Arabidopsis thaliana: one gene and its partner. The protein of the gene in region 1 interacts with the protein of each later gene in a pairwise test. Each region holds a gene or a part of one and is shown on either strand. Other genes may lie near its edges.

Evidence for each region. The genes of interacting proteins can lie anywhere in the genome.
Region 2: the proteins of ATB' DELTA (region 1) and AT5G67620 interact in a two-hybrid assay, tested with the Arabidopsis thaliana proteins (one large-scale study listed by BioGRID).

What each region holds. Positions count from the first base shown.
Region 1 is NC_003074.8:9,514,885-9,518,642, reverse strand, and holds the start of ATB' DELTA (serine/threonine protein phosphatase 2A 55 kDa regulatory subunit B prime delta), read right to left. Parts: upstream 1,691-3,758; 5' UTR 903-1,690; coding exon 1-902. Other genes in the region: AT3G26020 (Protein phosphatase 2A regulatory B subunit family protein), read right to left, coding at 2,058-2,363, 2,567-2,677, 2,889-2,921, 3,054-3,257, 3,345-3,758. UniProt on the Arabidopsis thaliana protein: The B regulatory subunit may modulate substrate selectivity and catalytic activity, and may also direct the localization of the catalytic enzyme to a particular subcellular compartment.
Region 2 is NC_003076.8:26,964,026-26,967,707, forward strand, and holds AT5G67620 (DUF4228 domain protein), read right to left. Parts: upstream 1,986-3,682; 5' UTR 1,696-1,985; coding exon 1,443-1,695; intron 1,355-1,442; coding exon 1,173-1,354; intron 980-1,172; coding exon 866-979; 3' UTR 526-865; downstream 1-525. Other genes in the region: AT5G67630 (P-loop containing nucleoside triphosphate hydrolases superfamily protein), read right to left, coding at 3,510-3,682.

The DNA.
Region 1 (3,758 bases):
TGTTGATGGTAATTTGGTAAGCATTTCAGCTTGTGCAGAGGAATCAAGACACGAGTAAGAAAGAGCTTGTGTTCTTCCTTGAGTGGTAAAGCGAATCCATTGATGATGGATCCTAAAACTTCAAGAAACTCGGCGATTCCCGAGTGTTTCCCTGTCTCGAATATAAAATCATACAAGATGTTGTTCATAGTTTTCCTGATGAACGGGCGATGAACCATAAACCTCCCGTAGATGCGGTGAAGTATCGTTTTCAGATACTCTCTTTCCCTCGGATCTTCAGAATCAAACAAATCCAATAGCTTGAGAACGAATGTATGATCGATGTATTTCTTGGATATCTTGGGGTCTGTGTTGGGAGATGCAACGATTCTCAAAAGGAACTCATAAACAATCTGCAAGTGAGGCCAAGAAGGATTCAAAGATCCTTCTTCTTCTTCCAAATCCAATGCCTCAGGAGTTTTGTTCTTCCATTGTCGATGAGGATTACTAAAGAGATTCGCCGAAATCATCTTGGTAGCTTCTTGAATAACTGATTCAGGGAACTTGCCATTCCCTGAAGAGATAACATAATCCACAACTTCAAGAAGTGTTTGCCTTTTGATCTCTTTCTCCTTGAAGTTCTGTTGAGGCTCAGCTACAAAATCAAACACTAGACAACATAGTCTAAGCTTCTTAAGAAACAGTTCTTGCTTCTCAGAGATGGAAACATCTCTCAACCTTGGCAATACATCAAAAGAAGAAACACAATCCAAACTAGTATCTCCATTTGATGACGTTCTCTGGCTTAAAACTTCATCACCTCCTCCTTGATTGTTGTTGTTATCTAGAGTTTGGGATTCACCATTATCCCAAAACTTAGCAGAAGTTTTCTTAGGAAGCTTCCCAAGTATCTGCTTAAACATCTTCTTCGATCTATTTAGTCAAACTTCCTCAAACTCAGATCAGATTCTTCAAAAACAGATCTCAGAAACTAAAAACCCGAATTGAAGAAAGATAGTGAAACACTCCTAAGATCATCTCACCACGCATAAGAACAACTCTTGTGAACATAATAGATCTCGAGAGATTATGAATCATCCAGACAAAAGCAAAAGACGAAAAGCAGACAAAACCATGACCCAGAAGGTAAAATAAAAAAAAGGTAGTAACTTTATATCATGAATGAAGCGCGTGAATCGTTTCTGGACCCAGATAGCAAGATCTAGATTGATGAATCATAGAAAGAAGCAAACTTGGGTCAAACCCAAGTAATCTAAACAATCGAAGAAGAAGAAGAAGAAGAAGAAGAAGGAAAGGGTTTAGCTTTTCATAGCTATTGCTTCGTTGGCATAGAGAAGAAGAGAGAGAATGGATAAAGATTAGAGAGTAAAGAGAGAGAGAGATAGAAAGAGAGGATGGTGACTGAGAGAAGACCCTAAGACCAGAGAAAATTTTCACTGACCAAGACAAGAAACAACATCTCTCGACAGTGTTTTTTTAGTTGAAGTCATAACCATTAAAAGATTCAAATCCAACCACTAAACCGATCTCTCCATGAAGATCTTTTCAGAGTTCCTCCTAGACTTATGGAGTTCGTAACCAAATCCACAAACCCAAAATACTCAAACCAACAATTTGGTCTTCTCTCTTTGAGTTTCTGTTGAAAACTTAAAAAAACTTTTTTTAAAAGGTGTTTTTTTGCTTATAAAGATACGATTTTTTTTCTGATACAACTGAAAATACAAAAGGCCAAATCCTATAAGTGCAATATTTGCAGGTATCATGAAAGCAGAAGATGAATGAATAAGACAAGTCTCAAGAAAGTGGAACAAGTGATGATCATACAATGTAGCAAAAATAACCCATTTTAACAAGCAGGAAGATTTAAGAGGAAACAAGAAATAAAAATAATGGAAATCAAAACAGGAACAATCTTACATCTTTGAGTTTCCTTTTTCCTTCAAACCAAGAGACCAATATGAAACTTTTCTCTTCTCAAGTATGTATCTGAAGAACAACATGTCAATAGAAGATACAGAAGCTCTCTTTCTCTCTCTTTCTTCTCTACAACTCTAACTTTATGAAGCCTTTCGCACTCCGAGTTCTTCCAAACGTTTCCAAGTGGCTTCACGTTTTGCTTCGGTTTCAGCTGCTTTTGATTCATCTTCCTTGAACTTTGCGAGGCATTCTTTAAATAACTCAGGGTCAAGGTCATGAAATATCTTTCGCACGTTTAGTGTCAAGCTATGAACAGCTTGGTTCCAATGTTTCTGTGCGTTTCTCTCCAACGCTGGGAATATAATTGGAAGAATGACTTTACGGTTTTGCATTATCAGATTCTCAATGTGATTGTTGTTCCATAAGAATAAAGCTCTCTCTGCAACCTGCGAAAACCAGACAGAGCATGAATAGACTGAAACAAAGATCCTGAACCTACTAGACTGATCTTTTCCCGTGAAAGATCGTATGCAGTCACTGTTTAGCCAAAACAGATACCCTTCAACGCAATACTTTTTCTTCTTTTGTAACTTTCTACTTAACAATAGCCTTACTATATCAATTTAGCTTAGAAATTGCCTTGAGTAACACCTAGAGCTGAATATAACAGTCCTAAACATTGATACTTTCCATACCGCAAAATCAACTCTTCCATTTGCTCGTTTGATATAACTGGTAGGCTATAACGACTTCTCATAAGCTGGTAAGGTAACACAGATATACTGGCGAAACACTAACACAATTAAAGTATGTAACCATAAGCCTTATTTAGCTAAGAAACTGCATCAGATATTATCCAGAACACAATACAACAGTCCTATACGTAGATACTTTCATTACCACAAACCCAACTCTTTCATTTGATCTTTTTATATAACAATCTAATAGGCTAACATAAACAGGTGAAACACTAATGCAGTTAAAGTATGTCGAAACGATATGGCCTGCAAATGTCAAACCCAACACTAACAGCAACAGAGCATTTTTCAGGAAATGTCAAAGCACGGGGAAATTCGCCAGTTTAAAAACAAATGTGAGGTGCTATTATTTCAGAAAGAATGGAGAATGACAGGTACCTGAAAATGCAGACTGTTCAAACATCGAGCTATTTGGCGAAACAGTGGTACCATGCACCGTTGAAATTCTGGTGGCTGAGTTGCTTCGAGTACTTCCTCCAACTCGTTCAGAAACATGACTTCTTTGGAACTGTTTGTCACGGGCCAATATTTCAACAATCCTCTTATAACCGTATCAGCAAGTTTGCAATCCTTTTCCACAAACTGTGTGATACAATAAGACAATTGTTGATGATACATTTGCAAGCATTTTGGTTTGTGGAGAGGTATCAAAACTCGAACAAGAAACACTTTGTGCTCGTCTTTCAAGGGAAGAGCGAATCCATTGATGATACTTCCCAAGATTTCTAGAAACTCAGCAATCCCATTATGTTTCTCTGTTTCGAAAACAAACCTATAGAAGATGTTGTTAATGGATTTCCTGATGAAAGGTCGGTGTACCATAAATTTACCATAGATCCGATGGAGAATGGTTTTCAGACAATCTCTTTCTCTAGGATCCTCGGAATCAAATAAATCCAGTAACCGCAAGACAAAAGATTGATCTATATATCTCTTAGCCAGCTTGGTGTCAGTTTCAGGCGAAGCAACAAACCTCAAGAAAAGCTCATACACAAGCTGCAAGTGAGGCCACGCAAGATCCATGGAAGGTTCTTCCTCCTCCAGGTCTAAGGCATCGATAACTTTATTTTCCCGTGGTTGAGG
Region 2 (3,682 bases), on another chromosome or scaffold:
AAATGGAATGATGCATTAGTGATTAATTGAATTATTGACTGCGTAACTATGATTGACAAAAAAGGCCGACCAAATGATCTGCCAACCATATTTTAAAAGCATACTACATTTACATTTCTTACAAATTAAAATGTAAAACTATAGTTTATCCAGTTATTACCATTGCCTTAAAACTCGCTCAAGTTAGTTGACTCTTGACTGGTTGTTTAATTCTAACATCCTCACATGAAACGTTATGATTGGATAATACGGTATGACGTAAAAATCCAATTAGGTCCAACACAAACAACGATATCCAAACGTATACGAACTGTCGGTTTACACTTTTCATTATTACATACATTGTTTAAGGAAAGAAATGATTTGTGGAATCTTGAATCTGCAAACAAAAAAAATCCGGTTATACAATCAGTAGGTCCGGTACATACATGAGACAACATTTAAGCAGGAAAAAACAGTGTTGGATTGAAACAAATATACAATTAGTTGGAAGTAATCATGTCACAAAACATGAAGTTTGAATGGGCCTAATTCTTTTTCTTTCTTTTTTCCACTTTAAATTTCCATTAAAGATGAGCCTAATTCAATTATCGGTTGATAAATAAATTATGCATACCTGAAAATTATACTTCAACCAACTATTTCGTTTTGCATTTGGATGCGAAAATTCGAAGAAATTCGTATTGTGGATGTGCCTTATATTTGTATCTAATAGGTTAAAAACGATTAGAGTTCTTGAAAACATTTGTCGAAGACTGAAATCTCATTAAAGCCACAGAAAACAGTAACATCGCTTTACATAAAACTTTCAATGTTGTCGGATGATAGTTGCTTTAAGAATATCTACGCTTTTGATCAAGAGCTCTCATGAGGATCCAAATTCCGGAATGCTGTGTAAAGCTGGCCTCCACCCACCACCACCTCTTCCTCCACCGTGGCTCCTCCTCATAAACCCATCTCCCCCGTTTTCTCCGGCGACCTATAAGATCGGTCGAATTAAATTAAGCATTCGTACATAAATGATAAAAGGATAAAGCGATCAGAGTAATGTGACCAGGACAGTCATCTATAAATATCTTATTCATCATGTCACAACTAGAACTAAAATTAAGGATCCATTTTAAATGTTAAAAAGAAAAAATTGGACGATGAGAGTATTAACATGCACTTACCGCATTATCAGCGCCATCTTGGTTCGGATTCGGATCCGAATTCGGGTTGACTTTGCCCGTTTCCTGATCCAGCTTCTTCTTCCTGTGTTTCGTCTTCTTCTTCGTCAAGTCAAGCCCTCCTCCTTCTTTCAATAACTTGCCAAGCTTCACACATTTCTTCGTCGCAAACTCGTTCAAAACCTCTGCATGATATAAAATTGTCAACAGCTTTATAGATCATTTTATTTATCAGAAACAGAGAAATGGAGTTAAGAGTGTATATATATATACCTTCGAAGCTGACGAGACGATAGACATGTCCGATGAGTAAAGTGTCGTCAGGACGAAGGAGTTTAAGCTGCTTCAGTGGCAAACCTTTCTCGTTCTTCATCGTAGGTGACGTCACCACCACCGCAACGTAATGACCAGGATTGGATTTCATGATGTCACTCGCTGTCACTGACCAGTAAATCCTCTCCACCTTGTTCTCCGCCGGGTGATGAATCAAAACCGTCGCTGCTTCGGCCGCTTGACAATTCCCCATTTTTATTTTTTTTGCAAAAAAAAAGAAAAGAGAAAAGAGTTTTGATTTTTTTGTTGGGTTCCTGTCTGAAACTAAAGTATATAAGAAGAGATTGTTTTGGTTTTAATAAATAGCGACGTCAGAATTCTTCATCATTTGGGATTGTCAGGTTTGACAAAGAGGTCGCTTGAGATCGATAAAAAGGATTAAACACAAACAAATAAATTTAGAAAATAAAAAGAGGAAGAAGAAGAAGAAAATAACAGAAAGATAGAATTTGTAAATTAAGATGTCGACACAAGAGATTAAGCAATGAGACGAATAAATAAAGAGGTTGGGAGTGGTAGATCTATTTATTTTATTTCTGATGTATAATGATAATGACATTTGAATTTTATATGAAATTAATAAATGTTATTAAGGATCTTGCATATCGCAACCAATGAATTAATTAACAACATGTTTCATTCTCTTGAATTATTAAGTTGACTAGAGGTTATGGTATCTAATTAAAAACCAAACTAGACTGTAAAATTTAATCAATAACCATCTTTTACTAATACTATTCAACAATTTTCATTTAGAAAGTAATATATTGATGATTTGATAACTAATTAAAGGGGAAATAATAAATAATTAAGAAATATTTTCAATATGATCAAAGTTTTTTTTTTTTTTTTTTTTTTTTAACTTTATGTAATTTGTTTTATGTATGGATTGATTGCTGTTTTTATGGCTTCAATGTGTGATACGAATCTCTGAAATGATATCCGAGCAACACGTAAAACTATGTCCAATTTTACATGTTATTTGAACTAAAGTGTAGTTGATAACAAAATCTTTATGGATTTGATTTATTTGAATATTCATTCACATATTTCTTATCACAATCCGATTGTTTTTTTGTTTTTTTCATCATATCACAATCCGCATCATATCACAATCCGATTGTTTCGAAGAATAAAAAGTACTATTACAAATAAAGGCTGTTCCAAAGGAAGCTGTTGATTCAGAGTTACGGTAACAGTGAGAATGATAAAATGTAGTATGGGACCCATGACGAGTTGAATCAGATGTCACAATGGCAGAGTACCTAAAGACACTGCGACTCTTTACTGTCAATAGATTTGTTCGACTTTTTATAATGCATATTTTTGGTTGGATTCACCAGCGTGTGATGTTTGTTTTTTCTAATTACTTGCAAGCGATGTGTAAATTAGATTAATTCAATCCATGAGTTTGGAACAATTTGTTTGGCCTTCTATCATTAACTCTTGTTCTACAAAGCCGTTTGTTTTGAAATCTTTATTCAAGAAATTCAAGGACACACGTTTATTCATAAATTTAGATAATATTTCACTAAATAAGTTGAAATTGACCCGACCAAGCAAAATAAATTCGTTACACCAAAACACGCCACCAAAAACCGATGAAGTCTGGTAAGAGAACACTCGTAATTAATTTACTCTGATGGTAGAGACTTGCATGCGTGTCAAATTTTGCGAACAACACACGCTTACATGTATTTAATGATAAGAGAGAGATTCACTATACTCGTCAATATTGGGCTTAAAGCCCATATAAAGTCTTAACGGGCCAGACTAATTTAGTAAAACCATCTCCTACAGTCTAGTCTAACCGAACCGAAATAAGTTGACCAAATCCAAACAAAATCAAATTTGTACCAAACCGATCTGTATTGAACTTGGTTAAATCATTTTCTAGAACCGAATCTCGTCACAACTTAAAAAAAAAAAAACATAAATCCGAGTTCAACATCCTAATCATACATATCACCACGAAACATGATAAATAAGGCAAACAGAGGTGGATCCTCAGATCTGCATAGCATCTTGTTCGTCTTCTGCAGCAGCTTCATCGTTTTTGATTGGTTCACTGAACATATACTGACTCTGATACTCAACAAGATACTGCATCGATCTCCTCACATCCAAGAACAGTCTGTAAACTCTCTGAATATCCTCAACCTCCACGACTTTCCCTTTCC